Linked DNA regions of Pelodiscus sinensis. The main gene of each other region encodes a partner of the protein of the gene in region 2 in a complex. Links are inferred from orthologs where the notes say so. Each region holds a gene or a part of one and is shown on either strand. Other genes may lie near its edges. The genes, in order: TAF6, TAF4, TAF8 and TAF11.

The links.
Region 1: TAF4 (region 2) and TAF6 share a complex: the UniProt entries of both Homo sapiens proteins name them as parts of the TFIID basal transcription factor complex. The link is inferred for Pelodiscus sinensis from reciprocal best matches to the Homo sapiens genes TAF4 and TAF6.
Region 3: TAF4 (region 2) and TAF8 share a complex: the UniProt entries of both Homo sapiens proteins name them as parts of the TFIID basal transcription factor complex. The link is inferred for Pelodiscus sinensis from reciprocal best matches to the Homo sapiens genes TAF4 and TAF8.
Region 4: TAF4 (region 2) and TAF11 share a complex: the UniProt entries of both Homo sapiens proteins name them as parts of the TFIID basal transcription factor complex. The link is inferred for Pelodiscus sinensis from reciprocal best matches to the Homo sapiens genes TAF4 and TAF11.

The regions. Positions count from the first base shown.
Region 1 is NC_134734.1:7,576,509-7,584,452, reverse strand, and holds the start of TAF6 (transcription initiation factor TFIID subunit 6), read right to left. Parts: upstream 3,010-7,944; 5' UTR 2,880-3,009; exon of another isoform or gene 2,838-2,879; intron 2,734-2,837; exon of another isoform or gene 2,619-2,733; 5' UTR 2,604-2,618; coding exon 2,445-2,603; intron 1,645-2,444; coding exon 1,558-1,644; intron 1,049-1,557; coding exon 895-1,048; intron 761-894; coding exon 704-760; intron 220-703; coding exon 100-219; intron 1-99. UniProt on the Homo sapiens protein: The TFIID basal transcription factor complex plays a major role in the initiation of RNA polymerase II (Pol II)-dependent transcription.
Region 2 is NC_134728.1:9,457,658-9,465,107, reverse strand, and holds the start of TAF4 (transcription initiation factor TFIID subunit 4), read right to left. Parts: upstream 3,003-7,450; 5' UTR 2,978-3,002; coding exon 2,662-2,977; intron 669-2,661; coding exon 1-668. UniProt on the Homo sapiens protein: The TFIID basal transcription factor complex plays a major role in the initiation of RNA polymerase II (Pol II)-dependent transcription.
Region 3 is NC_134737.1:9,412,288-9,419,764, forward strand, and holds the start of TAF8 (transcription initiation factor TFIID subunit 8), read right to left. Parts: upstream 3,001-7,477; 5' UTR 2,981-3,000; coding exon 2,912-2,980; intron 2,906-2,911; exon of another isoform or gene 2,634-2,905; intron 605-2,633; coding exon 448-604; intron 1-447. UniProt on the Homo sapiens protein: The TFIID basal transcription factor complex plays a major role in the initiation of RNA polymerase II (Pol II)-dependent transcription.
Region 4 is NC_134737.1:11,874,069-11,881,353, forward strand, and holds the start of TAF11 (transcription initiation factor TFIID subunit 11), read right to left. Parts: upstream 3,010-7,285; 5' UTR 2,998-3,009; coding exon 2,764-2,997; intron 2,285-2,763; coding exon 2,142-2,284; intron 1,143-2,141; coding exon 1,055-1,142; intron 801-1,054; coding exon 704-800; intron 1-703. UniProt on the Homo sapiens protein: The TFIID basal transcription factor complex plays a major role in the initiation of RNA polymerase II (Pol II)-dependent transcription.

The DNA.
Region 1 (7,944 bases), on a different chromosome or scaffold from region 2:
TTACACCCCTCTAGTGACTGGCCCCATCCCCAGCACTACTCTGCATCCATTCTCCCAGCCTTCGAAGCCCCTGGCCCTGCTGCTCTGCTTGGGACTGACCTTTGCCATCCGGAGTACTTGCGCTTTGCCCTTTACCCTTTAGCGTCCCAACCTCCTCCTGCCCTGGCTTCGTGGGCTTCAGCGGCTCTGTGGCCTCAGCTTTCTGCTGCTCCTTGGGGGCTAGAGACACAGCAGGTTCACCAGCCAGCCCCAAAGGCACAGCCCTTTCGCACGGGGATGCAGCCACCTCTGGGGTGGGGCGGCTGGTTATACAAGGACCCCTCGCCCAGCATGGAGATGCAGCCACCTCGGGGATGGAGCGGCTGGTTACACAAGGACCCCTCGCTCAGCGCAGAAATGCAGACACCTCTGGAATGGGGCAGCTGGTTACATAGGGACCCCACATGCAATGCTGAAATGCAGCTATGTCTAGGGCAGGACACAGGACAACATCAAGGGCACTTCTCAGTAGGAAATGCATTATCTTTTGACCAGGCTGCTGGATCAGTCTCTAGTTTCGGGGACCACAGCAGATGGCACTTGGAAAAGCTTGTCAGTCACCCTGCTCTGCAGACCAAGCGCCCAGACAGAACAGACACGCAGGAAGCAGACAACTCAAGTCCCTGTGGGGCACTGCACCTGGACACCTGGCTCCACAACTCACCTGGGGGCGGATTCTCAGGGATGGCGGGCTGAGTGCCTTCGATGCTGAGCCAGTGAGCTGAAAGGGAGCGGAGAGAAGGATCAGGGGCAAGCAGCACTGCAGGCTGGGTGCTGCACCTCCCGTTCCTTGCCCCCACATAATCCTTTGCTCTCCATGCCCCCTCATCCCTGTCTGCCCCATGTTGCCCCCACCTTTGAGGCACACGTCCAGCGGGACACGGGGCAGTGGCGTGTTGATGATGTCGCTCAGATCCACTTCTTTCTCTTCATAGAAGTAGAGCTCGCGCCCGCCCCCACTGGCATAGCGGAAGGGGATGAACTCCTGGGCATGAAAGCCATACAGCGGCTGTGGGGAGAGGGACATAGAGGGTGAGCTGGAGTCCCCATGTCAGAGCCTTCCCTTGGCTCAGCTCCATGGCTCTACCTGCCTTTCGGCACAGCCCCCGTGCTATACATGCCTGGCTCCCAACAGTAAATACAGCCTGGCTCTGTGGCTCTACCTGCCTTTTGGCATGTCCCTTGTGCAATACACACCTGCTGCACCAGGGAGAGGAGCACCATTTTGTCCTTGGGAAAACATATACCTATGCTGGAAATTGTCTCCCTGAATGTTACATGCGCCCTACCATAGTGACCGGCAGGGGGAACCTCCCCCCCCCAAAGCTCAGGGGAGTCTCTGTTCTAGGAATTCAGGCCTTGAAATCCATGAAAAGCCCCTCTGCACTTCAGAACTGTCCTCCCCTCCCCAGCACCAAGCACATGGCCTTACTCAGATGGCCCCCAAGCCCACAGGACTCCAATGCCAGCCAAGAGCCTGCCCCACAAGCTCCTCGGGGCTGGGACTGCCCCTTTTACCTCCACGTTCTTCAGTTTCAAGGCATAGTCCACGTCGCTGGTGGTCAGCTTCCGACGCTTGCCCATGTGCATGAACTTCAGAGCATCCTGCAGGCAAATGGGAAGTGAGGGTTGTCTCACCCCTCTCTGCTCCAAGGACCCTCAGGCAACCAAGGGCAGGAGCAGAGCAACTGGGAGGTGGAGGCATTGGGTGCATGAGGTTCTCCTCGGGCCAGAAACTGGATGGGAGGGTCTTGGGACAGCTGGGGGCCCTGTATACCCGTGTGATTTCCATAACCCACCAACTGCTCAGGACAATGTCCGGGGGCCCACAGCTGGGTGATCTTCCAAAGACAGGGAAGTGAGGCAATGCTAGGGGCAGAGAGTGCCTGTGGGACCCCCTGCCCATACATGGGCAATCTGCTGGAGCCGAGAGGATGTGGCAATGCCAGGGAAGGAAGGGGAGATGCCGTGGACAGAGGAAGATTAATAAGACTGGGGCATGTCACCTTACAAAAGAGGAGACTAAAGAGGGATATGATGGACGTGTATAAAATCACAACCAGTGTGGACAAAGTAAATAAGGGAAATTATTTACTTGTTCCCATAGCACAAGAACTAGGGGTCATCAAATGAAATCAATTGTTAGCAGAATTAAAGCAAACCAAAGGAAGTAGTTTGTCACACAGCCAACCTGTGGAACTCCTTGATGGAGGATGTTGTGAAGACCAGGATTTTAACTGGGTTCAAAAGAGAGCTAGATACGTTCACGGGGGTTCTGTCCATTAATAGCTATTAGCCAGGATGGGTGGGAGTGGCTATCCTAGTCTGTCAGAGGCTGGGAATGGGCAGCGGGGAGGGATCCCTGTTCCGGTCACTCCCCTCTGCCGAGGACGGGGTGCCCGTACCTGGGTGATCTCCTTGACGCGGTAGCTGACCTCGTCGGCCAGCAGCTGGCAGGTCTCCTCGGGCACCTGGGCGATGCCCACGGCCTCTGCCATCACCTTCATGGACTCGGCCGGCAGCAGCGTGTGGCTCAGCTTCGCCTTCTTCTCCTCGGCCGCCATCGCGCCCCGCCGCACCTGCGGGGAGGGGGGTGAGACACGGGCCGGGGCGGCGGAACCTCCCGCCACTGCGCGGCCCGGACCCCAAGGGCCCCATCCCCCACCTGGCTGGCCCCGCCCCTTTCCCTAGCCCCTCCCCTAACTCCCGCCCCCCACCGTGCCGGCGCCCCTCCCTCTCCCGGCAGCTGCACGCCCGCGCTGCGGCGCAACCTCCTCGCCCCCGCTACATTCCCCCACCGATCCCGGTGCCGCGCTACACCCCTGCCAGGACCCGAGCACCTCCGAGGGGCGGGGCCAGCCCTGGAGACCGGCAGGCGGGCAGGGACGCACTGCGCAGGCGCGGGATGGGGCGCGGGAGGAGGACAGTGCCTGTGTGCGTGGTGCCTCACAGCTAGGACGGCGCCTGCGTGCCGCGCATGGATTCCTTTCTACCAAGCATGTGCAACATGGCCAAGTGCGGAAAACATGCGCGCTAGCGCCCCAGCCTTTGGTTGATGACGCGCATGAGCAGTCCAGATCCCTTTTTTTTTAGAGGCACGCCACATCCCCACGCATGCGTCGCTCTCCCGCTTGCTGCGCTCTGCGAGGCGCCTACTGCTCATGCTTCATCCCCTCCCTCCCCTTCCCCCCTTAAAGGGCCACCGCGGCTATTAGCAGCCTTAGCCTAGGACTGGTGCGGGGCTACGCGGCTCCCCCTGCTGGGGCTGCAGCTGAGGAGGAGGAAAGGCGAGCCACCCCCTGCGAAGGTAATGGGGGCGCGTCTCTTAAAGGGGCCATGGCCTGTGTGGGGAGGTGAGTGGAACTGCTAGGGACTGGGGTTCAGGCCAGCTGTGCTTTGCAAGCTAAGATGGGGAAGGGAGCCATGGTCTCCTGAGATATCCACGTGGTCTGTATGGGGCTGAAAGAACCAGGCCAGAGGTGGGGACACAGCCTCAGTGTAGAAATGGCAGCCGTCACTAGCAGATCCATATGGGCTATATAGGAACTGGGGGTGGGGGACAGGGCATGGGGCATTGCATGGGCAGCTGCTAACCACCTGGCAGTATGTAAGTACCTCGGAGGTGCTGGAACTGGGGCAATCAGAAGAGGCACATCAAATACAATATGTTGTAAGTGTAGGTGCTAGGGTCCGGGATTCCTGGGTTCTCTCCCTGATTCTAGGAGGGAAATGGGGCCGGGGAGCATTGAAGGGGAGGAGTTGGTGTCCTGAACACCTGGGTTCTCCAAGCCCTTTGCATGTCATAGGTTGCATGGCACATGCCCAAAAACCCAGTTTCCTTTTCCCCACAAACTCTAGAATTTCTCTTTGACCAACTTCCAAAAGCAAATCTTCCCTTTGATAATGAAAGGCTGAAAATTTCCATCCACAAACCTTTAGCTTATTGTTTTTAGACCAAACCAGGACAAATTCTCCCTTTGCACAAACCCTTGCAGATTTGGGGCCATTTTGCCTGGGAACTGACCTTGATGGTAAAGTGCTGCTGGCTGAAAAGATGCCCTTCCCCCACTCTTAAAATCTTAAATGAGCCGAAATGTTCCATAGAATCTCTATGGCTAGTAATTCCATGCTCCAATAATAAGAATGTGGCAGTAGGGATATATTATTGACCACTTGATTAGGACAGTGGTATTGAAATTAGAGAGGGTATCAAAAAACTCAATAATAGTGGGGGATTTAAACTATCTCCATCTTGACTGGGGACACGACACTTCAGGATGGGATCCAGAGATCAAATTTATTGATATCTTAAATGACTGTTTATTTGAGCAGCTGGTTTCAGAACCCACAAGGGGAGAAGCTATTCTTGATTTAGCCCTAAGTGGAGAGCAGGATCTGGTTCAAGAGGTAAATATAACTGGACTGCTTGGAAATAGTGACCATAATGTAATCAAATGTAACATCCCTGTGGTGGGGAAAACACCTCAGTAGCCCAGCATTGTAGCATTTAATTTCAGAAAGGGGAAATATACAAAAATGAAGATAGTTAAACAAAATTTTTAAAAGGTACAGTGACAAAAGTAAAATCTGTGCAAGCTGCATGGAAACTTTTCAAAGACACCATCATAGAGACCCAACTTAAATGTATACCCCAAATTAAAAAACACAGTAAAAGAACAAAAAAGTGCCACTGTGGCTTTACTGGGTAAAAGCAGCAGTGACAGATAAAAAGACACCTTTTTAAAAGTGGAAGTCAAATCCTAGTGAGGAAAATAGAAAGGAGCATAAACTTTGTCAAATTAAGTGTAAAAATATAATTAAAAAAGCCAGAAGGGAGTTTGAAGAACAGCTAGCCAAAAACTCAAAAAGTAATAGCAGAATGTTTTTAAGTACATCAGAAGTAGGAAGCCGGCTAAACAACCAGTGGGGCCCTGGGACGATTGAGATGCTAAAGGAGTACTCAAAGATGATCAACTTATTGCAGAGAAGCTAAATCAATTCTTTGCTTCAGTCTTCATGGTTGAGGATACTGGGGAGATTCTCAAATCTCAGCCATTCTTTTTAGTTGACAAATATGAAGAATTGTCCCAAATTGAGGACAATTATTAGAGGAGGTTTTGGAACAAACTGATAAACTTAACAGTAACAAGTCACCAGGACCAGATGGCATTCACCCAAGAGTTCTGAAAGAACTCAAATTGGAAATTGCAGAACTATTAACTGTGGTTTGTAACCTATCCTTTAAATCAGCTTATGTACCTAATGACTGGAAGATAGCTAACATGACACCAATATTTAAAAGGGCTCTAGAGGTGATCCTAATAATTACAGACTGGTAAGTCTAACATCAGTACTGGGCAAATTAGTTGAAACTATAGTAAACAATAAAATTGTCAGACATATAGATGAACATAATTTGTTGGGGAAAAGGCAACGTGGTTTCTGTAAAGCAGGAGTACTCAATTTTGGAAGCCCTGGGGACCATAATGATACAGCACATGCCAAGGGCTGCATCTTAAGTGTAGTTGCTTATACATGCAAATAGCTTCTTTCACACTGGCAGGCATGTATGCAATGATTAAGCCTTAAGCTGCAGCACCGGAACCAAATGTGGCCAGTGTGAGCCAGTCAGCACCTCTCAGGCTCTGCCCACAAGGGTAAGCAACCATTAATTTCCACAATGCCCTGGCATTCCCCGCATCTCCTCTCTGGAGGCTTAGAAACGCCAACACCCTGTACCCATCTGTTTTGCCAGCCTGTCCACTTGCATCTTTCAGTGCTCACCCTGCCTGAGAACGCCTCACCGTTGTCGAGTGTGTTCCCAGGCCATGTTCAAAGGATCCCACCCGCGGGCCTCGTGTTGAGCCCCATGTAAACCCAAACCACACCACGGGCCACAAATGGGCTGTGAGCCACATGCGGCCGCAGCCCTGCTGTAAAGGGAAATCACGCCTTATTAATCTACTTGAGTTCTTTGAGGGGGTCAACAAACATGTGGACAAGGGGGATCCAGTGTACTTAGATTTCCAGAAAGCCTTTGACAAGGTCCCTCACCAAAAGCTCTAAAGCAAAGTAAGTTGTCATAGGATGTAGTGGAGCCTGGACTACCTTGCCTAGAAAATAAATGGTGATGTCTTACTTGTCCCCGGTTCATATCTCTAAAAAGCAAAACCCAGGCCTGTCTCAAGTCTGGTTCACACAGGAAAGGTTTGGGAGGTAGGAATGTTTTGAATAACAATGCAGATTAAGTGTGGTACAGTGAGACCACACAAAAAGCAACCTTATATTGGTACTTCTGTTTCTGATAAGCAAAAATTACAGATACAGTCATACAACTGTCAACCACACACATAACAGCAACATCCTGAGAAGGACGTGCTGCAAATAGGGCATTGGAAAGTCTTGCTATGCTATAAAATGGGCTTAGTAAGAACAATCAATGGGCAGGATTGACCCACAGATCTTGCTTAATGTAGCTAGAAGTAAGTAGGCCCTTCTCACCAGCACCCCAGTGCATGGCTTTCCATTGCATGGGAATTAAAGGACCTTCCCAGTGCATGGGAATCAACCAAGACCTCCTGCCTGGTACTATAGGTAGCATATGGGTGAAGTGTAAGTGAACTAGGCTTTATTATAGTAGATTTTTTTTTTATTAATTGCTTTTGCATTGCTTTGAGCTCTATTAATTGCTTTAGTATCTATAGTATTTAAGGTTTAAATTATATAGTAATTGTTTTTAAGGCTTATAAAACTTAAACAAATGTATTAACTGCTTCAAGCTTGTAATAAATGAGAAAGTGGTTAAGTCTCCCTAGAGTGTCCTGGTTTCCCTTGGATCGAAAATATATCGAACTACACGACATGAGATAAGAGGAAATGTCCTTTCATGGATTGATACTGGTTAAAAGATAGGAAACAAAGGGCAGGAATAAACTATAAGTTTTCCGAATGGCGAGAGGTAAATAGTGAGATTCCCCAAGGGTCTGTCCTGGGACCCATCCTATTCAACTTATTTATAAATGATCTAAAGAAAAGGGTAAACAGTGAGGTGGCAAAATTTGTAGATGATACCAAACTGCTCAAGATAGTTAAGACCAAAGCAGTCTGTGAAGATTTTAAAAAGCTCTCAACAAACTAAGTGACTGGGCAACAAAATGGCAAATAAAATGTAATGTTGACAAATGTAAAGTAATGCACACTGGAAAAAATAATCCCAACTAGATGTACAACGTGATGGGCACTAATTTAGCTACAACTACTCGAGAGAGAGATCTTGAAGTCATTGTGAATAGTTCTCTGAAAACATCCAGTGGCTAGGTCTAGACTACTAGGCTACAAAGCAATTAATATCGCTGTGCCTCATTTGCATGCCTTATGAACCGCCATTTTTGCACAAGGGGCTTTTGTGCAAGAAGAAGCTGTCTACACTGCTCCTTGTGTAAAAACCCCCTCTTGCACAAAGCCGTTCTGCTGCTTATTTTCAGGCAGAACAGCTCTTGCGCAAGAGGGGGTTTTTGCATAAGAAGCAGCAGTGTAAACTGCTTCTTCTTGCGCAAAATGGAGGTTCATTAGATATCCAAATGAGGCACGACGATATTCATCGCCCTGCCTCATTTGCATATATTCTTGTGCAAGAATGCGCAATGTAGATGTAGCCCAAGGTTTTGTCTTGTCTTGATTCTTTTGTCAAAAGAGGCTTTTCCGACATTTGGCCCGTCTAGACTGGGCCAAATGTCAGAAAAAACCCTCTCTTTCGGAAGCCCCTTTCTTCCTCGTGGAAGGAGGAATACAGGGGCTTCCGAAAGCGCATTTGCACTTCCGCAAAAAAAAAGCGGAAGTGCAAACGCATTCCCTGGACACAGCAGGGTTTTCTCAGGATACCTCCGGTATCCTCAAAAGAACCCA
Region 2 (7,450 bases):
CACAGTGACTGCAGCAACAGCAGGAAAACTCCCTACACCCACACTGATGGCTGAATTGATCACAGTATTGCTCCCATTCTGAGTGGCTGCAGCAGCTGCAGCAACCGTGGGTCCTGCTGTGTGAATTGGTGGTCTCACCAGTGCTACAGTAGGCCCCGCACCTACAATGCTTGGTGACGGCTGTGAAGAGATTACTGTGGGGGATGGGGATGAGGTGGAGGACACAGCGGTGCTGAGGAAAGAAGTCTGGATGACAGTGTTAGAAGCTGAAGGCAAAACAGCATTAACTGTATTTCCTTTCCCCACAGATCCAGGTCCATTGTTAACTAGAGGGGCAACAGTAGGTGCAGCAGCAGGATTAGCAGTTGCAGGAGTCCCAGAGAAAGTAGCACTTCCCGAATGGTGAGAGTTCATCACCACATTACTCCCATTCAAAGTCTGCACCGTTGTGGTCCCAATTTTGCCATTCCTGGTGGATAAGGCAGTTGCCATTGTACTGATAACCACAGATTTGCCCTGACTGAGGGTCCCTGGAGCAGCAGCAGCTTCAGATCCGCCTCCTCCTGCTGCTGCAGCAGTGGTGGTGCTGGTTGTAGTGGCTCCATCCAGAGCTGAACTCTGGGACCTGGTGTTATGATTAATAACACCCCCTTGCACTCCTCCAGCCCCTGAAACAACAAGAAGAAGGTTCAATGGAGAGAATGTGCAGGAGGTGAAAACAAAAGGTAGAGGGAGTGTGTTTCTCCACCCTCCCAATTCTTCTTTACCCCCTCGCCCCCACGTCCTCCATACTGTCTGGAATGAGACAAGAAAAAAAATGGGCTGAAAATACAAATTATCTTTTTCTGGGTAGAGAGGTTACCATGAAGCCCTTCTATGCCCCATATTCACACCTGGCAGCAGTGATATTAGATATAGCCACCCCTTGAACCAACTATAACAAGAAAAAGAGGACAGACAGACATACAACAGGACAGATCTGGACAATAAAAGAGCTGGGATACATCTTTATCCTAAACTTTCTTCTCTCCCACATTTCAGGGCCTGACATTACGTTTAACAACTTCCTTTACATTCCAGTTAATGAATTTAGAGAAAAAATGTTTTAAAAGATGCGGAGGGAGGGGAAAAAAAGTCTTCCCTGTGCCCTCTACACCTTGCACACTTTACCCCCCAATTCTTTCATGTCCTGTAGAGGAACCTAGTAGTTCCATGCAGTTAAACTAGTACAATAATGTAAAAAATAGGGGATGAAAACTGTCAGTGTGACAAAGAAAAAGTTGCCAAAAGAGGACTTTGTTCACACCAGGGCCTGTGCTGTTGTAATTCTGCTCCTCAAGCTCCCACAATCAAAGACAAATATGGGGAGAAAACAGACTCAGGCACTGAGGACACTACAATGTGCCCTCCTACTCTAAGACCTCCTCATCCCATTTTAATGAGGTCTGGTATCACAATTAACACCAGACTTGGCAGTCCAGGTCCTGAATTAAGGAGAGAGAAATGAGAAGGGAGCTGTCACAGATAACCCTTATAATATGAGTGTCTCAATAGCTAAGAGGACCCTCCTGCAAAATCCTCATTACCGATCTGCTATTATTAATATAAGCATCCTCTTACATTTCAGCAACAAGAAGCAGAAAATAGTAGGGGGGGGACATAAAACAGATAGATACTGGGCAGATAAGAATATTTTTCTCTTTCCTAAAAACAACCTCCCACCCACTCTCATAAAGTGAGACTTAATATTGTGATTAACATCATCCTCTTAAAACAAAGCTCCTCCATCAAGCAGAAAACATTCACAGGTAACATATGGAGAAGCCCATCTGAGGAGGATAGGGATTGTGCCCTCAGTCGTCCCGTCCCCCCCATCCAAGGACCTTATGTTGCCATGACACCCCCTTGAGGGAGAACGAGGAATGAAATGTGTTGAATACCCCCTCCAAACTCCTAATACAAGAGGGGTTATGGGGAATACCCAGACAGATATGAGGGGGGAGGCATTTTAGGGGCTTCTTCCCCTTGAAATCCCTCCTCACTTCCTCCTATACAGGAAATGGGTGTCATGATTAATAACACCCCTTTGCACTTCAGCAACAGAGAAGGGGGAAGGGAAGGAGCACCCAAACAGAAATTGGAAGGCCCTATTAATTGGGAATCCCCCCAATAAAACCAATCAACATACACCAGCAACAGGGAAGGCAGAGGAATATTCAGACAAACTGAGGGAAAAATCATCATCAGAGGGGTAGTTTGCCCCCATTAGTTCCCCTCCTTGACTCCTCTGATTAATAGCACCCGTTTACCCTCCAGCAACAACAGGAGAAAAAGAAAAGGGACTGATAACCCATCAGTGTCTTGTTTATGGCTCTCTTAAGGGGGTGCAGTACCCCTATATAGCAAGAAACACCTCCTCTACACCCCAGGAACGAGGAGGAAGAGGGGCACAGTCAGACATATACTAAAGGGCCTGGTGTATGGGGGGGTATCTCCCCAATATGATTTATACCGCCCCTTGCACTCCAGCTCTTGCCACAACAACGAGGAGGAGAGAGGGAAAAGGGGGGAAAGCAGTAAGGGAGGGAGGCAGTCAGAGCTTGGGAGTGGGGGGAGGGGAGGCCCCTTTCCCAGAGAGCCCCCCACCCCGGCCCAGGTTACCTGCTTTTGTGATCTCTGGGGCACTGAGTCCCATCTTGCTGCTGCTGCTGCTCTCTGTTTGGACATTAGCATTGCCTCCTACTACTACTCCTCCAGGGCTAGGGCTAGGGCTGCTGCTGCTGCTACTGCTGCTCACAACATGGTTCCCCAGCAGCCCCCCAGCGGTCCTGAGGGGCTCCTGCGCCTTGTGGTGCTGGTGGTGATGGCCGGAGGCCGCCAGCTGGGACTCGAGGGAGCCCACCAGGTCGCTCACCACCTTCTCATCCACCTCCGTGTTCAGGAAAACCTCATCCAGCAGATCCGAGCCCGCCGCCATCTTTTTTTTGGAGGGTTCCTGTGAGCTGCTCCCTCCTCCCCCTTCCACTCCTCCCTCCCGCCCCCCCCACACACGCTGCCCTCTCACGGCGCAGGCGCACGGGAGCCGGCTCACATCACCGGCCGGAGAGGGATTCCGCTGGCTGGTGATTGGCCGCCAGCCGCCTATAAAAGCCCGGGCAAATGGCTGCGAAGGTTTAGTTGGGAGTCGGGCGGCGGCGGCCCGGACGCGAAGCTGCAGGAGCAGCGGGGGCTGAAGGTGGTGGGGGGGGGGGGGACGGTGGCGGCTGGACGGGGGGAGGGCAGGGCGGTGAGGCTGGTTCGTGCCGCGGGGCGAGACGAGGGGTGCGCGGGCGGGGGCGGGCGGCTCTTTGTCCGCCTGCGCTCAAGATGGCTGCATGTCTCCCTGCTGCTCGCTGCGTCTGGCCCGTGTCGCCAGAGCGAGTCTGAAGGGCGCCCCACACCTGTGCCAACTGCGTGTAACTGATCCACCGGGAAGGGGGGGGGGGGAGACGCGGCCGCAGGCCCCACGCCCAGCCTCGGGAGGGGGCTGAGCCCCCGGCCGGGCAGCCTTGTCTCCCGGGTTGGAAAGCGAGCTGCAGGGCGAGGAGCCGGCTGGCGGGGCTGTGCTGCGGCGCCCCACACAAGCAGCCACCCTCCCCCCGCCGCGTCCGGTGGCCCGCGGGCAGTGAGTGCCGCTGCTCCGCGGGGACTTCAAACGCCTTTCTCGGCTCGCGCCGAGCGGCTGCGGGAGCTCCCTGGGACAGAGCGAAGGAGGCTGCAGGGGGAAGATCCGGGAGGGGAAGGCGCCACTAATCTGTGTGCACGGCAAGGTGCTGTCGAGCTTCCCTGAACGTGAATTTAGGAAACTGACTCAGCGGTCTGGGGGTGGGCAGGCCCTGCCACCAGACAGGCTATAATAAATGAGCGCGGTGAATGCGTATACAAGGGGGAGGGGATTGGGGTGCTTGGATTAAAGTCCTGGGGAAAAAATGGGAGGTGGCTGAGCTGAAATGAAAGCTTAACAGAAAGGCGGGATGGAAGGAGGGAGGAGATTTTAGCCGAATATCTACTGCTAAACATCTTGTCCACGACTTCAGCCTTTCAGAGGAAATTAAAGCATTGAGTCCAGAACAGCTACAGTTTAACAGAGAATGGACTGTTGTATTCAAAATCACCGCCAGAGAAATGCATTCTTCTTAAATTCCATTTTGAACAGTACTACAGAGGTTAGTACCCATTTAGTTTGTAAAACCAAAGGTGCTTAGAGGAGACAGTAGTCTTTAGCAATACAAGTAATCTGCTTCTTGATCACTAATCTTACACAGATTCTAGATAGAAATTGAACTTGAACATTGTGTCATCTTAAGAAAGGAAGTTCAGGTATGGTAAAAATGCAGCCTGTCCTTTAATAGTGAAACTATTTACTAAGCACTACCTTCAAAGTCCAGAATAACATTAATTGCAAGATGAAAATTTCTTCTGCAGTGTACAGTGACTCTTATGCTACCACTAAGTAAAGGTCTACAGTAGGCAAGTTAAGGTTGTAACCACTTGTTTAAACGTTATAAATCTAAAATTATAAGTTTGCCTTACCTCTGTTTTGTTGGTCACTTGAGCTGGCTAGCACTTAATGTTGAAATGTTTGTTGCAGTAGGAGCAGACTAAGATCCTGTGTAGCTTGTTATCACTTAGCAGTGTGTGGCCCTTCAGGTCCTAATGAGTGTCACTGACAAGTCTCCATTTTTGCAGCCCAGAGTGATTCATTTCCTCCAAAGCTTCTTTACTTCAACTAGACTAGAGACAAAGTATTCTACTATACTTATTAGGGTATCTTTAGTTTCTGCATTCTACATCTGTTCTAATCCATGTAACCATCACTTCAGTTACATTGAGTCTTTCAAGCAATGTTGAGTTGTAAGAAGGAAAATAGTGCAGAAAACCTTGTGTATTTTAGTCACAAATGCCCCACCCTAAAAGTCAGCTGGTCAGTCTATAAAGTGGTAGTCAGCTATCCAAATTCATGTGAAGGGAAGACATTAGAAAATTGCCTTGCTCCTCAACACGTTTGCAGCTAATATTTTCCTTAAGAGGTATTGGATTCCTACGAATACATTGCTTTATGGTTATAAAGTCTTCCAAAATAAGAGATGCCAATTTTGCCCCATTCATAGATAGATCTCTCCATGCTGTGGTTTTTATTCTTCCCTCCAAAGCACCCCTATTAGCATTCTAATATCTTACACAATGTTTGAGTCGCTTTAGACATTGCAATATATTAATCCCTATGTCTGAATTCCCCTGGACAAACATGTCAATTAATTAGCCTTTATAATGAATAATATATTTTCTATCCTTGTTTTCAGTGATATAACCTATAACGTCACCTTGAAAGGAGTAAAGAAAGGACCTCTTTCTTCACAAATCTCCCAAGATCTATTTCTAATCCGTATCAATATTGAACAGAACAAATGTTGTGTCCTAAAAATAAGTGTTCTGAGGGCTTGTTGCTCAATTCCAGTAATGATGTGGCCAGAGAGCTTTCCTTTAAGTGCCTCTTCTACCAGCCAATGGCACCTTCTGCTGCTGCTGTAGGTAGGCATACCTCTATCATTACAAGCATTAATAATTTCCAATTCAGTTAACTAAAAAGACACAGGAAATCTTGAGTAGAGGTCCAAGTACATCCCTGAAGTGGGATAGAGGGTAGTTTACAGGTGCTGCCAGGATGGTTCCAAAGACTTAGAGCAGCAAAGGTAGCCAAAAGCTATTCTTTCTTCCCCTTTCCCTAGCTGGGAACAGCAGAGCCTCAGGTTGAGGACATAATGGAAAAGAGTGAAAGTGAACAATGGAAGGGAGAATGGGGGTAAGGGAGAAGAGGTTAAGTAAAGGCAGAATTAAAACAGCAAGAGGGAGTGATGGAATCACTAATTGGCAGTATTATGGGCAGGCAGCAACTAGGGAGGAGCAGATGACATCTTAAGGGCATGAAGAGTTAGCAGGACTCTACATTCTTCTGCTGATGATGACTTTAAGGTATTTAGCAGGGCTGGCCCAGAACATTTTGGCACCTTAGATGGGGAGCTCAAATGATGCCCCACATCCCCCTTGCTTAGGCCAAAATTTAAAAAGGTCTCTTGTGCCCTCCAGCACAGCACTCTACTGTCTCTGTGCATCTAGAGCAGAGAGAATACATATGCACCAGCAGCAGACACAGTTTTCTATGCTCTGGCTATGTCTACACTTGCAGCTTCTTGTGTGAGAAATAAGCAAATGAGGCTGCATGGAATACTGCTGAGCCATATTTGCATACCTAATGAGCTGACATTTTGCAGAAGAGGCTCTTGTGCCAGAAGGAGCTGTCTACACTACCCCTACTTGCACAAGAAAAACCCTCTTGCACAATGCTGTTATTCCTGAAAATGGTGCAATGGCATTGTGCAAGATGGTTTTTCTTGTGCAAGAAGGGGCAGTGTAGACAGCTCCTTCTGGTGCAAGAGCTTCTTCTGCAAAAATGGCAGCTCATTAGGTATACAAATGAGGCTCAGTGATATTCCATGATATTCCATGCTTAGCCTCATTTGCATATTTCTCATGCAAGAAGCTGAGTATAGACATAGCCTCTGGGTCCTAGTGGTGTGGGCTGCCCCCCCTCTTTCCCCCAGCACAGTCTGGCACCTGAAGTGACTGCCTCAGTTCACCTGATGGCAGGGCTGGTCCTGGCATTTAGAACCTAGTTTATGGTCACATGGGTCCAGATACATGAAAGATATGGTGCCCAAGTTTTTGACCCCACAAAATTAATGTCAAACCATGTAAGCACTTAAGTTTTCAAAGTAAAAGTTCCTTAGGCCTCTGTGTTGGTGTCTGTAGGCTTACACAGAGGTGTCTTCCTCTTGACATCTGTGTGCTTCTTTCCTCGCTAACCATTAAAAGGATTCATGAAGCAAGGGAAGATAAGCGTTTGCTTAGGGTGTTCACCAGGGCCTCAGTAGACATGCTCAGAGACTGTTAACCAGAATGGTTCCCATTCAAAAATCGAACCATAGGAGGAGGTACTGCTCATCTGAATATTTAGCCTAGTGATGTGTATTGGACCAGCTCTGGCAAAAAGGAGGGACTTGAACTAGGATGTCCAACAGCCTATGCAAGTGGTCTAACTACTAGGCTAAAAGTTAAAATGGGAAATGCATGTGTACACCCTCTCCAGCTATTATATGCAAAGTAAAGCTAGCACATAACTCCTCTGAAGAAGCAATTTATTTCAACCAACAGATTCTCATTTGAGGATTGCTAAGCAGATGCTTCTCCTGCAGCCTGGAATTAATGCCCTTCCCAGAGAGGAGCACACCCCCTCTCTGGTCAGCATCTCTCATTACCTAACTTAGGCAGTTCCTCAGTGGAATAGCTTTTGTGGATCTTGTTTTTAGGTGTCTGTGCACTCATTGTTGCTGGAACTAGAGGGGCAGAGGTG
Region 3 (7,477 bases), on a different chromosome or scaffold from region 2:
GATAGCTTCCCCAATTATCACCTCTAATATCATTAGCTCACAGACATTTACCTCCCCTCCCCCCATTCTGAAATTTGATTTGTCTTTTTTAGATGTGTTCACTTTTTTTGATTATATCCCTTTGGTATATATGGTCATGCCAATTTTCTTCCACAATTTGATCTGAGGAAGTGAGTCTGGCCCACGAAAACTCATTACCTAATAAACCATCTTATTAGTCTTTAAAGTGCTACATAGTCCTGTTTTTTGTTTCAGCATTAACTACTCCAGTGATTTGTCAAGCATGTTAACATTATAGCAACATGGCTATATCATAGGTACCCATTTTTATTTCCACTGAGAATACCTGATTTTAACACCATCATATTTTATTTCAAAAACTACTCTGGCCCCTAAAATCTCTACTTTTTTAGTTGAAATAGTTGCATCTGTCATAAAGATACTTACAGCTCTGTAACATCTCTGTCAGGGTTTCCACTGCTGCCTTTTCAGCGCTCTCAAACCCAGCCTCTGTCAGCAAGGAGCTGACAACAACCTGCAAAGTTCTTCTCCGAGACAAGTAATAGTTATCTGCAGGGGTTGTTGAGTGTTTGCCTCCTGATCTCTGTAGAAACAGACCACAGGAAAAACAAAAAACAAAACAAAAACAGAGGACTATTGAAGACCAGGATGTCAACAATGGTTTTCAAGAGGTGAAAGACAATACCACTTGATTACACACATAGGTTACGTCTACACTGGCATGATTTTCCCAAAATGCTTTTAACGGAAAAGTTTTCTGTTAAAAGCATTTTCAGAAAAGCGCGTCTAGATTGGCAGGATGCTTTTCCGCAAAAGCACTTTTTGCGGAAAAGCGTCCGTGGCCAATCTAGACGCAGTTTTCTGCAAAAAAGCCCCGACTGCCATTTTCGCGATAGGGGCTTTTTTTGCGGAAACAGTACTGTGCTGTCTACACTGGCCATTTTGCGCAAAAGTCTTTCGGAAAAAGACTTTTGCCTGAACGGGAGCAGCATAGTATTTCCGGAAAAGCACTGACAATCTTACATGAGATAGTCAGTGCTTTTCCGGAAATTCAAGCGGACAGTGTAGACAGCTGGCAAGTTTTTCCGCAAAAGCAGATGATTTTGCGGAAAAACTTGCCAGTCTAGACACAGCCATAGAGTACAAAAGGATGCTATGAAAGAGTCTACTACTAGTTTGTAGAACCTCAGCTCTGCCAACATCACATAAGCCCTGACTTAAATACCCCTCCTATGCCAATGTGGCAAAAGAACAGATTGGAAAAAAGTATTAGGAAAACACACTGATTCTGCTGTAGTATCACACAAGTCACCAAATGGGATGGAAGTGGAATAAGACTCTCAGTTCTGGAACAATTCAGAGGGCTTCAGGGGCAGAACTGTGAGCAAGTTACAAGTGGAACATTAACAAGACAGTGTGGTGTAATGGTTACAGCAAGAGACAAGGTGATAGGCCTCCGCCTCTGCCTTGATTTATCAAATAGTTATTGTTTGTTTTCTCTCTCCTTCACTATTTTCTTGTCTTCTCAGATTGCAGGTTCCTTGAGCTAGAGACAAAGTGTTGTACATTAGGAAAGTACTTAGCACATTCTGGCTGCTACTGAAAGCCAAATAAATAATAGAAATGAATTAGAAGTAATGAGCAACAGCACATCCTAGCTGATCCAGCAGCAGCTGTGGGTTTGCAATGCCTCTGAAAAGCAGCCCATTCACCTCTGCATACCTCAGTTACCCTGCTTGGTAAAACAGTGATAATACAATACTGCCATAACACTTCCTGTCTCTCTAGCACCTAATCTCAGGGAGGATCTCAAAGATGAAGGAGCCTCCCTTTTGCATGGGAGCATGTGCTTACCCTGCTCGTGCACACGGGCAAAGAGAGGCACAGGGAGGGACACAGATGAGGCCTTAACTAGGGATGTGAACAACTAGTCAACTAATCGACTATCCGATAAGCAAATGCTTATCGGATAGTTGACATGCTAGTCAACTAGTCACTTCCCCTCCCTTTGCGGCACTTATCAGAAAGAGGCAGCTGGGGGGGGGGGGAGGAACAGTGCTTCAAAGTGGCAGCACCAGGGCTCCACGCAGCACTGCCTATTTGAAACACTGTGTGCAGCCCAGCGTCAGCTGGGGTCTAGACTGCTGCTTTGAAACAGTTGGATGTTAGGAAAAACGTCCTGCCTGCCAGGGTGATTAAGCACTAAAATAAATTGCCTAGGGAGGTTGTGGAATCTCCATCCCTGGGGATATTTAAGAGCAGGTTGGACAGACGCCTGTCAGGGATGGTCCAGATGGGGCTTGGTCCTGCCGTGAGGGCGGGGGACTGGACTTGACCTCTCGCGGTCCCTTCCCGTTCTAGTGTGCTGTGACTCTAGGACCGTATTCCGCCTGTACCCGGAGCACGGCGCCTGGAGCTAACCCAGGCGAGCTGGTGCCCAGGCCCCACGTGCCCCCTCCTCTGTTCCACCCCATGCCTAGCGTGGGCACCCCACCCCAGTGCCAGGCTCTGCCAGAGCAACGGGGCCCCGCCCCTGGGCTAAGCCCTGCCAGGGCACGAGATGCTCTGGGGCTCAGGGCCCCTCATACACTGTCCCTTTAAGATGCTCCCACCTGCGTGCTCCCTCAAACTCCTTCCGATTGGCAGGAATCGCCGTCAATCAGAAGCACTAAAGGCACTTCGGCCAATCCAAAGCCCACCCCAAACCCCGCCTACTCCAGCAGACCAGCCAATCAGCGCCCCGCGCTCTTCGGCCCAGTAGGCCCCGAAGCCGCTCAGCCGGGCCGCAGCCGCCTCAGCTCGTGTCGGAGAAGCCGCTTCCCCGGCCCCCTTGACCCCTGCGCTGGCCGCTCCGCAGGGAACTTATCCCCCGCGGGGTGTCCGCCGTTACCGTGCCCGAGCTGCTCGAGCCGCTGGACGCCGTGTCCGCCATCTTGAATCCATGGGCGACGACGCGCATGCGTGGCCGCGCGGGGCATTATGGGACTTGTAGTCCTGAAGAGAGGCTGGGGCAGCCTGCTCCAGGGAGAGCCCATTGGCATGGGGGTTGTGATGGGGAAGCTGGGGTTGAGCATGGACTTGCAGGAGGAGGCCTAGGGGGAGCTGCCTGCCTGAGTCTGGTTAGAGCCTGAAACAGTTCCAAGAAGAGTGAATTGCAAGGCCCAGTGACTTACAGCCAGGGTATCACTGTTAACTATTCCAGGGCTCATGGAGGGACCAGCATCAAAGTTCAGATCTGCTGCCCCGTCTCATTTGGCTGTCAACTCCGGAGTCTTAGGGGGTGGAATTTGCAAGAGCATCTTTAATTTATTTTTCCTGCCCAAGCCTGGCCGGCCTCCAGAAGACAGGGCTTTGTGTGAGACTGGCCCAGCGCATGACTGAAAAATTCTTCTCTCCATTGCTTCTCCCAAGAAGCAGTTTGTCAGATTGCTGTGTCCCCAAGATCTACCCCCAAATGTGTTAAAGAGCCACTCAGTCTGTATGCTAGCCAATGGCACAAGGGCTGCCAGACAATGTTCCCTCTAATCTTTCCCATTCACGTGTGGATTTTTTCTGTCCAAGTGCAGAACAAATTTTCTGTGTGCACCGAAGCCCATAGAAACTATGGGCACTCTGCTAATCAGCTGGGCAGCATTTGAATCTCTCCGGAGTGGCCGCACAAACACACAGCTTACAGGGAGCACTGCTGCTAGAAAGTGGTACGGTGCAAGAGATGAGGTGCCTGCCTACACAAAGAAACTATCTATTCTCCCTAACTGCAGTCCAATTGAAAGGACGCTCATGAAAAAAGAGCTCTATGCTTTTGTGAGATAAGGGGTCAATAGTTGAGTTGTCCTTCAGAGAAGGAACCTGGTATGTTAGGTTGTAAAGAACTGACATTGCTGTTAGCCCTGTTAATGCCAATCCAGGACTTATTTCACCCTAGCTAATCATTTCATTTCTTTACCACTTTGGCGACCACAATACAATGTCTGACGTTTACTCAGAACCCTTCATCTTAAAGGATCCAAATGCAATTGCAAACTTAGATACAGGGATCTCCTCACCCATCACTGAAATTCAACCGCTGCAGGGCTGGGACCTGTCTGGACACTGTATCCAGTTGAAATTGCAGGGGGGAATTATGGTACTGTAGATGAGAGCATTATTACTTGAATTTAGAATTTCCCCATGCCACCCTGTCATTATGAAAAGTGCTATGGGGTATGATGGCTATTTAGAGTCAAGACCTAAGTCTCTGCCAAAAATACAATGCTTCTGAGTTTGTATCCAACAAATGGAAAATTTGAATGTACAAAAATGTCTCTTGTCAAGCTCATATGAAAACCTAAATCACTTGGGTTGCGTGAAATATTCTTCAGGTTGTTTCTCAGTACGCAGTGCTTCTTGAGCAAGCTTCAATTTCCCTTTTAGGGTGTTCAGCTCTTGTGATCAAATCTTTGGTGAAGTCGGTTGTGTGCTTCAGAAACTATAGAACAGGAAGCCCCCCTCCTACAGCTCCCACCTCTTGTTTCCTGTGTAACTACATATGCGTGGGGAGAGAAAGCATCTTAGGAACCAATAACCATATTGCAAAAAAAGAAATGTAAACAACAGCTGCCACGCTGGAAATTAAAGGTCCTGATCTCGGTCAATTCAGATTGCAATGCAGCTTCCACGTAGCGCTGTTTTTTTCAGCAGCGATGGTAGCGAAAACAGCAACCCATGGAAAAAGAAGGGGGTGGAGGAGAGGAGAGACTGGATTGTTGAAAGGAAACGTGCCCCGTGAAGCTAATTTATTCATCATCAACAAAGGTAGGAGGCAATTTAGTTGTATTTTCATGGTAAATTGTAGATTGAAAAGGTGAAAGAGAAAGAGAGAGAGATCATGTCATAAGCAACAAAGGAAGAGGAAAAATTAGTTCCCAAGAGGTTGGTTGAACATAAGAATCTTGAAGACACTTCAGAGTAGGTGCTTTAGAGGGAGTGATTGTTTATTGGAAGTAGATCTTAGTGCCGGGTTCATTGTGTGTGTGTATATATATATAGCCACTTGTTGTGCAGTACCCTACAAACCTGTGACACAGTAACTTCTGTAGCCCCAGGCCAGTGTGTGTTTTTTTGCCAGACCTGCTGGAATGGAGGTGTAGAAGATTTTTTGCCTATTGGTGAGCTAAGAGATGTCTGTGTCTTCTTGCAAAAGACATGGTGTGATTTTCACCGATGTCGAGTTCCTGCATCTTGTAACTGGAGTTGCAGTGGCTCAGTACTTCTGAGAAGCAGGACTTGTGGGAAGAACAAGTGCTAGTGAAATCCACGGGTTAACCCTTGGCATGGATCTGATCCAGTTTAGGTGAAAAGGGGAAGGAGCGCTTCAGGTAATCAGGCTTGAAAACCTCAACTCACTGCTATTGCCTGAAGCTAAATTACGGGGCCAGACTTAGACAGCAATATTTATAAAAATAATAGCTGACTCTCAAACCAAGATGCAATATGTATGCATACCTAGTATCTACCACTAGCACTGCGCACCTGAATTCATATATGCACCTTGGCTTATGTGATTCTTAACATGGCATGTCTGAATCCATAATTGTAGCTTGACATACCCGATAGCAATTCATAACATGGAACAGCTGGTACCAGCTGCAAAGTGGCATACCTGAATCCATAGCAAGAAAGTGACACAACTCTGTGGTGCCCTGATGTTAATTCACTGCGTGTCATGTATCTGCCAAGCTTGGGATACCATGATGTGAAACCCAGGGTAGGAATGGATGTGAAATGTGAATATGGTGATGGCTGAGAGAACATATCAGCATCAAGCACCACACCAGAGCAGTGAACAGTGGTGCATTTATGCTGTGTAACTACATCAACAGTCTCTAAGTCGAGGCAAGAGAGCCTATGAAAAAGAGTTCAACTTCTCCTTACCCTTAGAGCATGAGGACCAAAAACTCAGGCATTCAACTGGAGCACTTGTGAGGGATAAGCAGGTGGTAGCACAGTACGTAGTGAGGGAGTATTATCTAGTAGTTAGAGCCTAGGACATATTTCCACCTCTGTCACTCATTCACTTGGGGTGCATCTACTCTTAGCTCAAAATAAGCTACGCAATTTGAGCTACACAAATTGCATAGTTTATTTCGAGTGTATTTCGAGATAGCACCAAATTATGAAATAAACTATCTACACAGCACCAAATTTCAAAGTAATCCTTGTGGAATGAGGTTTACAGGGATGTTGGAATAGCATGCCCATTATTTTGAAAGATATTTTGAAATAATGGGCATGCTGTCAAGACGTGGAATAGCTATTTCGGGATACCGGAAGTATCCCGAAATAGTGCCACAGTGTGCACGTACCCCTGGTGACTTTAGGCACGGGACTGTTGTGTATGAGCTTCACAGAATCATAGAATTATAGGGCTGGAAGAGACCTCAAGGGGTCATCAAGTCCAGCTGCCTGCCCAAAGCAGGACCAACCCCAACTAAATCATCCCAGCCAGGGCTTTGTCAAGCCGGGACTTAAAAACCTCCAGGGATGGAGATTCTACCCCCTCCCTAGGGAACCCATCCCAGTGCTTCCCCACCCGCCTAGAGAAATAGTTTTTCCTAATAGCCAACCTAGACTTCCCCCACGGCAACTTGAGACCATTGCTCCTTGTTCTGCCATCTGTCACCACTGAGAACAGCCTCTCTCCATCCTCTCTGGAACCTCCCTTCAGGAAGTTGAAGGCTGCTATCAAATCCCCCCTCATTCTTCTCTTCTGCAGACTAAATAAGCCCAAATCCCTCAGCCTCTTGTCACCCAGTCCTCCAATTTGTCTAGGGCACTCCCCATTTGTGCAACTGGAAGTATGACAATATCATCTCCCCACCTGTGTTAATAACACCTGTGTGGTACAAGGTGTGATACCAACACAAAGTGTTATTATTCTTGTTGTTATTGCTATTTGTATTATTATCTCAGGCCCTGGAATGTTCTCCAATTGATCTCCTCAGGACTGGAAATGAGCCTTCCTGTTGTTTGAAATATCGAGTATTTCAGAGGGCTCTGATAAATGGGAACTTTAGGGCTTCAGCAGACCCTGTGACACATTAATTGGCAGACTGAGCTGTGAGTCTTGTACAACAAGCAGAGAGAAGGGTTAAGGCTCTGTTTAGGTGGCGCATCACTAAAATCAGTTGTAAATGTCTTTGCCCACCCTTAGTAAGGACCCCTTTTATCTCTTTGACAAGCACAGGGGAAATCACTTCATACCTGTTTGGTTTGGGGTCCCCAACAAACTCTGTGTCACAAAACAAAAACAATCTCCTTTCAAAAAAAGCGGAGAAGAGAGTCTCCACTATAACATTTTTAAAATTCCATACCTATAACCCAGAGTGGCACTTGATAATCATGTCCATTGTCTCTTCCATCAAAGAATCGCCACACACTTTTCAAATATCAGTAAACAAAAAGATTTACTTGGCAT
Region 4 (7,285 bases), on a different chromosome or scaffold from region 2:
TAGTCAAACTTAACTAGCCAAATAACCACATTGTTCAAGCCAACTGACCACATTCAATCAGCCAAATAGCCACATGTGGCTAGTGTGTTGGACACCAAAGAGTTAACTAATTAAAGGGGGGAGGCTGCTCTAGCCCAATTTGAGCGCGCGCATGTGTGCGTGCGCACTCACACTCTCTCTCTCTGCTGGATTGTAGCACCCAGCCCCATCACAGGCAGGGGCTGCACCAGCTGTGCCCTGTTTGCAACCTCTGTCTGCTTCAATCAGGACCTCAGGAGCAGCCCCTGTCAGCAACAGGCCCCCTGTCCGTCTGGAGCAGGCACCTGCTGGTTAACCAGTTAAATAGTCACATCCCTAATATACAGAGATGGAAAGAACCTATTGGATCACTACATCCATCCCTCTCCAGTTGCCACATGAAAGAAAGCTCATCTCAAATAGAGATACTGTGAGGCAGTGGTTCTCAAACTTTTTGGCCCGCGACCCACCCTGCTCAATGTAAATCTGCGGACCACAAGCCAAATGCCTCTAATGACAAAATGATTCATTTCAGAGTTATACAGATGCTAAGACAAAGGTCTAAGCTGTTGAAACTACATGATTTCACTTCAAAAGCTTTTTTCTCTGCTTTTATAGTGATCTTTACACAATATATTCTTAGGAATATTTCCCCCCACTTTTACAATATTCCTCTTCTACTCACCTTCTTCTACCACCTCCCCAACGAAGACTTTGGAAATCCCTGACATAGCAATAACCACATTCTGAGACACAGATGTACCAGTAATGGACTGGACCAGCTTGAAACAAAAGAAAATGTAATTCAGTTTTGCAGGTGAAGACTTTAAGAAACACTTAGTCTAAGCATGGGAAATACTGAGCAGTAACTACTGAAGTCAACACAAGTGGACTTCAGTGCTCAACACCTATTCCATAGTTGAAAACTTGTGCACTCAAACTGTGACCTAATCTATAATGATGTTTTATGCACTTACTTTTATACGTACCAAGCTGGATATGTTCCTCTGTGGACTGACTATTTGCAAAAACTTACCCGTTTAATAGCAGCCTTGGGGAAAGCAGACCGGCGGTACATCTCATAGCGATTCAGCTGCTCTTCAGAAAAGGAAGAAACCAAAATTCTGGAAGGAGGAAACAGGTCAGTTATGAGAGAACACAGGTGGACTTATTTTCATCTTAAAAAGCATTTTGAAAAGTTACCCAAATCTACATATGGTCTGTTACTACAGCGTGCCACTTTAGCCCTAAATACTTTATTAAGCATAAGACACACCACTAAAAGGAGGGGGTAGATTGTGCCCTAATTATCTAACACACAAGGTTGAGACAGATGAATTGTTTTGGTTTACAAGCTTGACTTAGATCTTCCTTTATGAAGGCAAAAATCAGAAAGACAACCTATTAAGGAATAGTCTCCAATGTTAGGCTTAAAATAATGACATGGCATATTACATACTACTGTACTTTTCATTTACATCAGCAAGCTCTGTACAGTAAATTGGGTGAGTTAAACTCAGTCTGATGAGCAAATTGTCATAAAATAAAATCCCGTACAGGGATGTTAAATATGGGTTAACTGAATAGTCGATTAACCTCATGAATTCTTATTGATTACTCAACTATTCTATAATCCACAAGGGTGAGGCCTGCAGCCAATGTAATCCAGCCCCACTCCCGAGGACCCCCTTGCCACTCCGTGCTGCGGTGTAAGGTGGGAGCTGGTCCATGAGGGGAGGGTTTAAAAACCAGCTCCCCTTGCAGACCTGCTGCCCCATGCTGCTGCCTCTAATATACAGGCAGCAGTGCAGAATAGCAGCTGGGGAAGGGAGGTGGGGGGGACTCAGCTCCTGGATGCAGTATGAGCCTGAACAGAGCTGGGCTGCCTGCCCCTCTGGCTCCTAATACTCATTAAATGCAGAGCTGCAGCAGGGGTACATCCTGGACCTGGCACAAGCCCAGACTGAGTCATGCTGCAGGCCAGCCTGCTAAAAAAATGAAGGGATGTGTGCATGTAGTCTACAGCATTAACTTATAAGCAAAAGTTTCTAGGTTAATCAACATCCCATATCCTATAACCAAACTTGATGTCAAATGGGTTAGAAATAACAGGGTGCACGCACTGCATTTTCTGAATCTCGTCTTCATCTACTTTGTGCTTCTTCTCTTTCTTCTCTTTCATCTCTAGTTTTATCTTCTTGGCTGCCGCCAATGCAGGATCCTCTGCTTCTGCTGAGCCCAATTCCAAGCTTTCTTGGCTATTCACCTGCCGCAAGAGAGAACAATTAGCGGGGTGAGGTCTGTTGGTTCCAAACGACCCATGTCCGTCCATGGTGGCCTGTGCGCAGTACTAGGAAGCACCCCCAGAGCAGGATGATAAATATTACACCCTACACGCTTTCACCTAGCAGCCTACTGTTTGGTTAGCGGCGCATGAGCCTAGAGGGGCGGGGGACTGGGGGGGGGGTGGAAGCGACTAGTCGACTACGGGATAATCTCAGGCTTGTTGGGTGGCCTAGTCCCTGCTCAACTAGTCGCTTCCCCCCCTTTGCTGCCTCACTAGAGGCACCAAGGGGGGAGCAGGAGCGGGGGGGGGCAGACAGGGGGGAATCGGGCTGCTGCCAGGAGGGGGGAGGGGCGCCACTTCCTCTTCGCGCTCTGCCCGGGAGGGGGGGGGCACGGCGTGATGACGTCACGCGGCCGCCGCAGGAATCTCTCTGTGGTGACCCGCCCCGCGCCCCTCACCTCCCCCGCCGGCCCGTCCGCCGCGGGCTCGCTGCCCCCGCCCGGCTCGGCCGCCTCCCCCGCGGGGGTCTCGGCCGCAGCCGGCGGTTCCGCGGGAGCCGCCCCCAGCCCCGGCGGCGACGCGGGCGGCGGGAAAGCCTCCTGGGGAGGGCCCGAGTCCCCGCTCTCCTCGCGGCCGGGCTGCGCGGCGTCCGCCATCGCCTGGGCGGAGGCCGCGCGCGCCGATGAGGTCATCGCGACGGCTCGGCGGGGTGTGTGTGTGGGGGGGGGGGGGCGCGCCCGAGCTCTGCCGCTTGCGGGCGAGTTCTGTTTCCATGGCAACGCGACAGCCCTCGGGGAGCGGGGCGCGGGGCGGGGGAATGGTGTGAGAGTGGGGGCGGGGCCTGGGGTTGGAGTGGGGGAGGGGCGGCCGACTATGGTTAGAGCAGTGGCAAGGAAGGGGGGGGGGGCACAGACCAGGGGGAGCAGTGGGTGTTGGAGGAGGGAGCGCTGGGTAAGGTGGGCATGGAGTGGGGACTCGGGAGTACAGAGCAGATGGGGAGCATTGGGGTGAATGAAGCAAGATCCCTCGTGCCTAGGCCCTGGGGGTACCCACAGGATTATCACAGGACTTTATAATCCTTAATGCAAATAAATGTTTCTCATTAAGGTCCTATAATGAGTTGTTTGCTGACTCTGTTTCTTTGATGAAGGAAACCAATTGGGGAGGCGAAAGCAGAGGTGATAATTTTCTGCATTGTTGCTTTCTAATTGGCCAGCACAGCACGCTAAGATGTTATCATCATTAGGATAATGGTTAGGCTGGGAGACGGAGGAGTCAGGAGTCCTGAGTTGTTTCCAGCTCCGCTCTTGGTCAGTATGCGAGTTTTGACATGTCAGTGAACGTCTTTGTGGCTCAGTTTGCCTGTCTGTAAAATGGGTACTATTTACATTCTTCATAGGGCTATGGTGAAGATTAATTCATGTTTGTGAAGGGCTTGAGATCCTTGACTGAAAAGTGCTAAAGGTTTGAGATTTTATTATTTTCGGGGCCACAGCTGATTACATCATTCTCCTGCAGTACTACACATACATGCTGTTCTTTTTCTGTGTAGTCAAGACTATTAGGATGATGTAACTGATGAAATCCTGACCGAAACTCTTACTCTGGAGGGATGGGATAAGCTTAGCATACAGGTCTAGGAATGAGGCCTTTCACATCCTAAAGTTCTGCCAACTTCTTTCCCAAATCTGCATTACAGTGTAGTGCCACCAGTCAGTGTTCATTCTCAGCTCAGAAGTGGCACTCCCCTGCCTGCAAATGCTCCATGAACACTACCAAGTACGTTGAATTATTTTTGCTATGTCGTGAAGCAATGTGTCAAAGAAATCCTCCTGTCCCCAGTTGTGGTGGTGGTACTTTCTGAGGGTCTGCAAATACAGGACACTTGTGCACTGTGTATGTGCAATTTCCATGACAATAGTGCAAAGCCCTAGGTGCTTCATGCTTTTGTGTGAGATAGCAGATACCAAAATACTTCATGTAGGTTTGTGGTGTATTTAAAAAAAGTGAAAATTATGGCATTGTAAGATGGAGAAAGTTGCATGCTGGGAAGTTGACCCCTCGCTTCCAGAGGTGTCTGGATGAGCCATTGCTATACTGCAAAACCTTGGAAAAATGTCCCAAAAGGCATTGTAGTGTCTTCATGTCACTCTGAGGTACCTAACTGTAGTGTAGTGTATTTTACATCAACACAAGCACTCCTGGTATATATGCAGTGCTGACAGGAGCAGCCATATGCATTCACCTAAGTGATATATAACTTTTTGCATGTGTATGCTCACATAATTTGTATCAATCAATGTTTGTAGCAGGGACTATCATATGTTTACACTATGGAAACTATACCAGCATATCTATATTCCGATTCAGTGCTATTCTTTTCCAGTAATTCGTGCTGTAATCCTACGTCAGCATTATTTATGTTCCACTGTATGTGACTTGAAGAAGAATCCTTTCATTGAACAAACAGAAATCACTAAGGAGAAGTTAATTCTACGTCTTTAATACATTAAGGTAGTTTAAAAGATCCACTGAACTAATGAGGATAATCTACATCTTCAATCATTCTAGTCCCATTTTTTGCACAATAGCAATGAATGAGAGATGTCATTTGTATTTCACGATAATAGCAGCACACTACCTACTTAAACGTCTGGTTCAGTCAGAAGCTTTTCCTGTATGAATCTCATTATGCTGACAAATGTCAGGTATCTGTTTGCCAAGTAAAATTCAAGCCTTCTTTCTTGAGAGTATTAACTCTTTCCTGTTTTATAAAAGGTGAGTCTCTTAGTTGCCTTATGATTATTACTGAATATTAATCCATAAAGAAAACACTTTAAAATACATGCGGGAAAGATGGTGTGATGGGAACATTATGCTGGCCAGGAGGGGTTAATAAACTGCAGTGTCTCTAACCCCACACCATGACACCTAATTGATTTGAAGCCAGGAAGGAGGAGTTAAAAGAAAGGAGCACAGAAGTGGGCTGTGCCCATGAAAGCTTGTGATACCATCTACATGTTTTGTTAGTCTATAAAGTGCTACCAGACCATTTGTTGTTTTTTTTCTGTAACAGACTAACTTGGCTACCTTCTGAAGCAGCTAAATTGGGGGTTGACTAGGGTGATAGTTAGGTTGTGAGGGAAGAGTAGTTGGGGGTAGGAATCACTGGAGACTTGTGATAGCACTTAAGAGATACACCACCCCCTAGCATCCCTGTCAGAATTTCAGTTGCTAAATGAGGTGCCCCTTCCTGCCCTCTCCCTCTTTCTCTGCTGGTCCTCCCTCCCCCAGGCACAAGTTGCCTATCTTAAGAATTAATTGAAGGTTATGGTCTGCTATATAGCCTTCTTATGGAAGGGCATACCTAACACAGACTGTTAGGGTGCATCTAGACAGCACCCTTTTGTTGGAATAAGCTACACAATTTGCAGTATGCAAATTGTGTAGCTTATTCCCAGTCTAGGTTGAAACAGCTTATTTTGAAATTTGGCACCGTGTAGACCATGCCAAATTTCAAAATAAGTCATTATTCTGACAAATCCCTTAACCCTCGTGGAATAAGGGTTACAGTGATGCCGGAATAGCGTGCCCGCTGTTTTGGGAAATGGTGGGAGTGTTTAAAGATGTGGCGTTACTATTTTGAGATTTTTCTGGTATCCCATAATAGCATCGCAGTCTAGACGTACCCTTAGGCTGTGTCTAGACTAGCCAGTTTTTCCGGAAAATCAGCCGCTTTTCCGGAAAAGCTTGCCAGCTGTCTACACTGGCTGCTTGAATTTCCGCAAAAGCACCGACTTCTTACTGTAAGAAATCAGTGCTTTTTGCGGAAATACTATGCTGCTCCCATTCGGGCAAAAGTCCCTTTTGCGCAAAACTTTTGCGCAAAAGGGCCAGTGAAGACAGCTGAGATTTGTTTTCCTCAAAAAAGCCCTGATCGCGAAGAAGGCTATCGGGGCTTTTTTGCGCAAAAGCGCGTCTAGATTGGCCACGGACGCTTTTCTACAAAAAGTGCTATTGCGGAAAAGCATCCGTGCCAATCTAGACGCACTTTCCGAAAATGCTTTTAACAGAAAACTTTTCAAAAACATGAGGCAGCATGTTCTTTTAAAAAAGAAACGTGATTTTTAGGGTTAATGGAAGGTGCTAGCTTTATGCTCTGGAGGCTTCTGTTTATATGCAAAGCAGCTATAGTCTGAGCAGCATCATTCTACTTTATCACCCATATTGCCCTGCTGCTTTGTGTCTCTAATCTGAATTCAGGGGTGCCTTGTGGGTTTGGAAGGGTACCGTTTCTGTTGATAACACTGCCAAAAAGCCATTTGCCCTAGTGGTAGGATTTTGCCCTACCAAATCACATTACATTTGCAAAATACTAACTGGATTATTGGGTCAAACTTGATGTATAATGCTTCTTGTGGGGTAGGAGGCTGAGGGGTTAACACATGGATATCACTGGAGGCTGCCTCTTACATGTGTCTTAGATTATACGTAAACAGGCTCATCTGCTTCCATTTTATTCATTACAGGACAAGCAACCAGAGCATTATTCTTCCCTTTTATTAATATATGCAAATGTCATCCTGTCCCCCTTTGTACCCTCTTTCAGTCATGAAGCAGGAGATCTGAGACCAGGCATTCCCTCTGATGGGAAGGTGGAGCATTGGACACTACCTCTGGCACATGGGTTTGAGGACCAGGCAAGATGAATACTGCAGAAGTACAGGAATTTTGGATCCTGCCTTTGGTTAGGATGGCACTGAGACAGGCAGATGCTGGGGAACTGCTACATTTCCCTCTTTAAACAGTGGATTTAACACATGTATGAATCCCTATAAAGGCCCTCAGGGATTTTGGAGGATTAATTGAAAGACTCGGGTGCTCTTCCATGTCAAATGGCACTTTCCCTCTTTCTTTGAAGAAGGGCTAAGTGGATGGTGAGTATTTCATGGGTCCAGTTGCAGGATAGGACCAGATGTG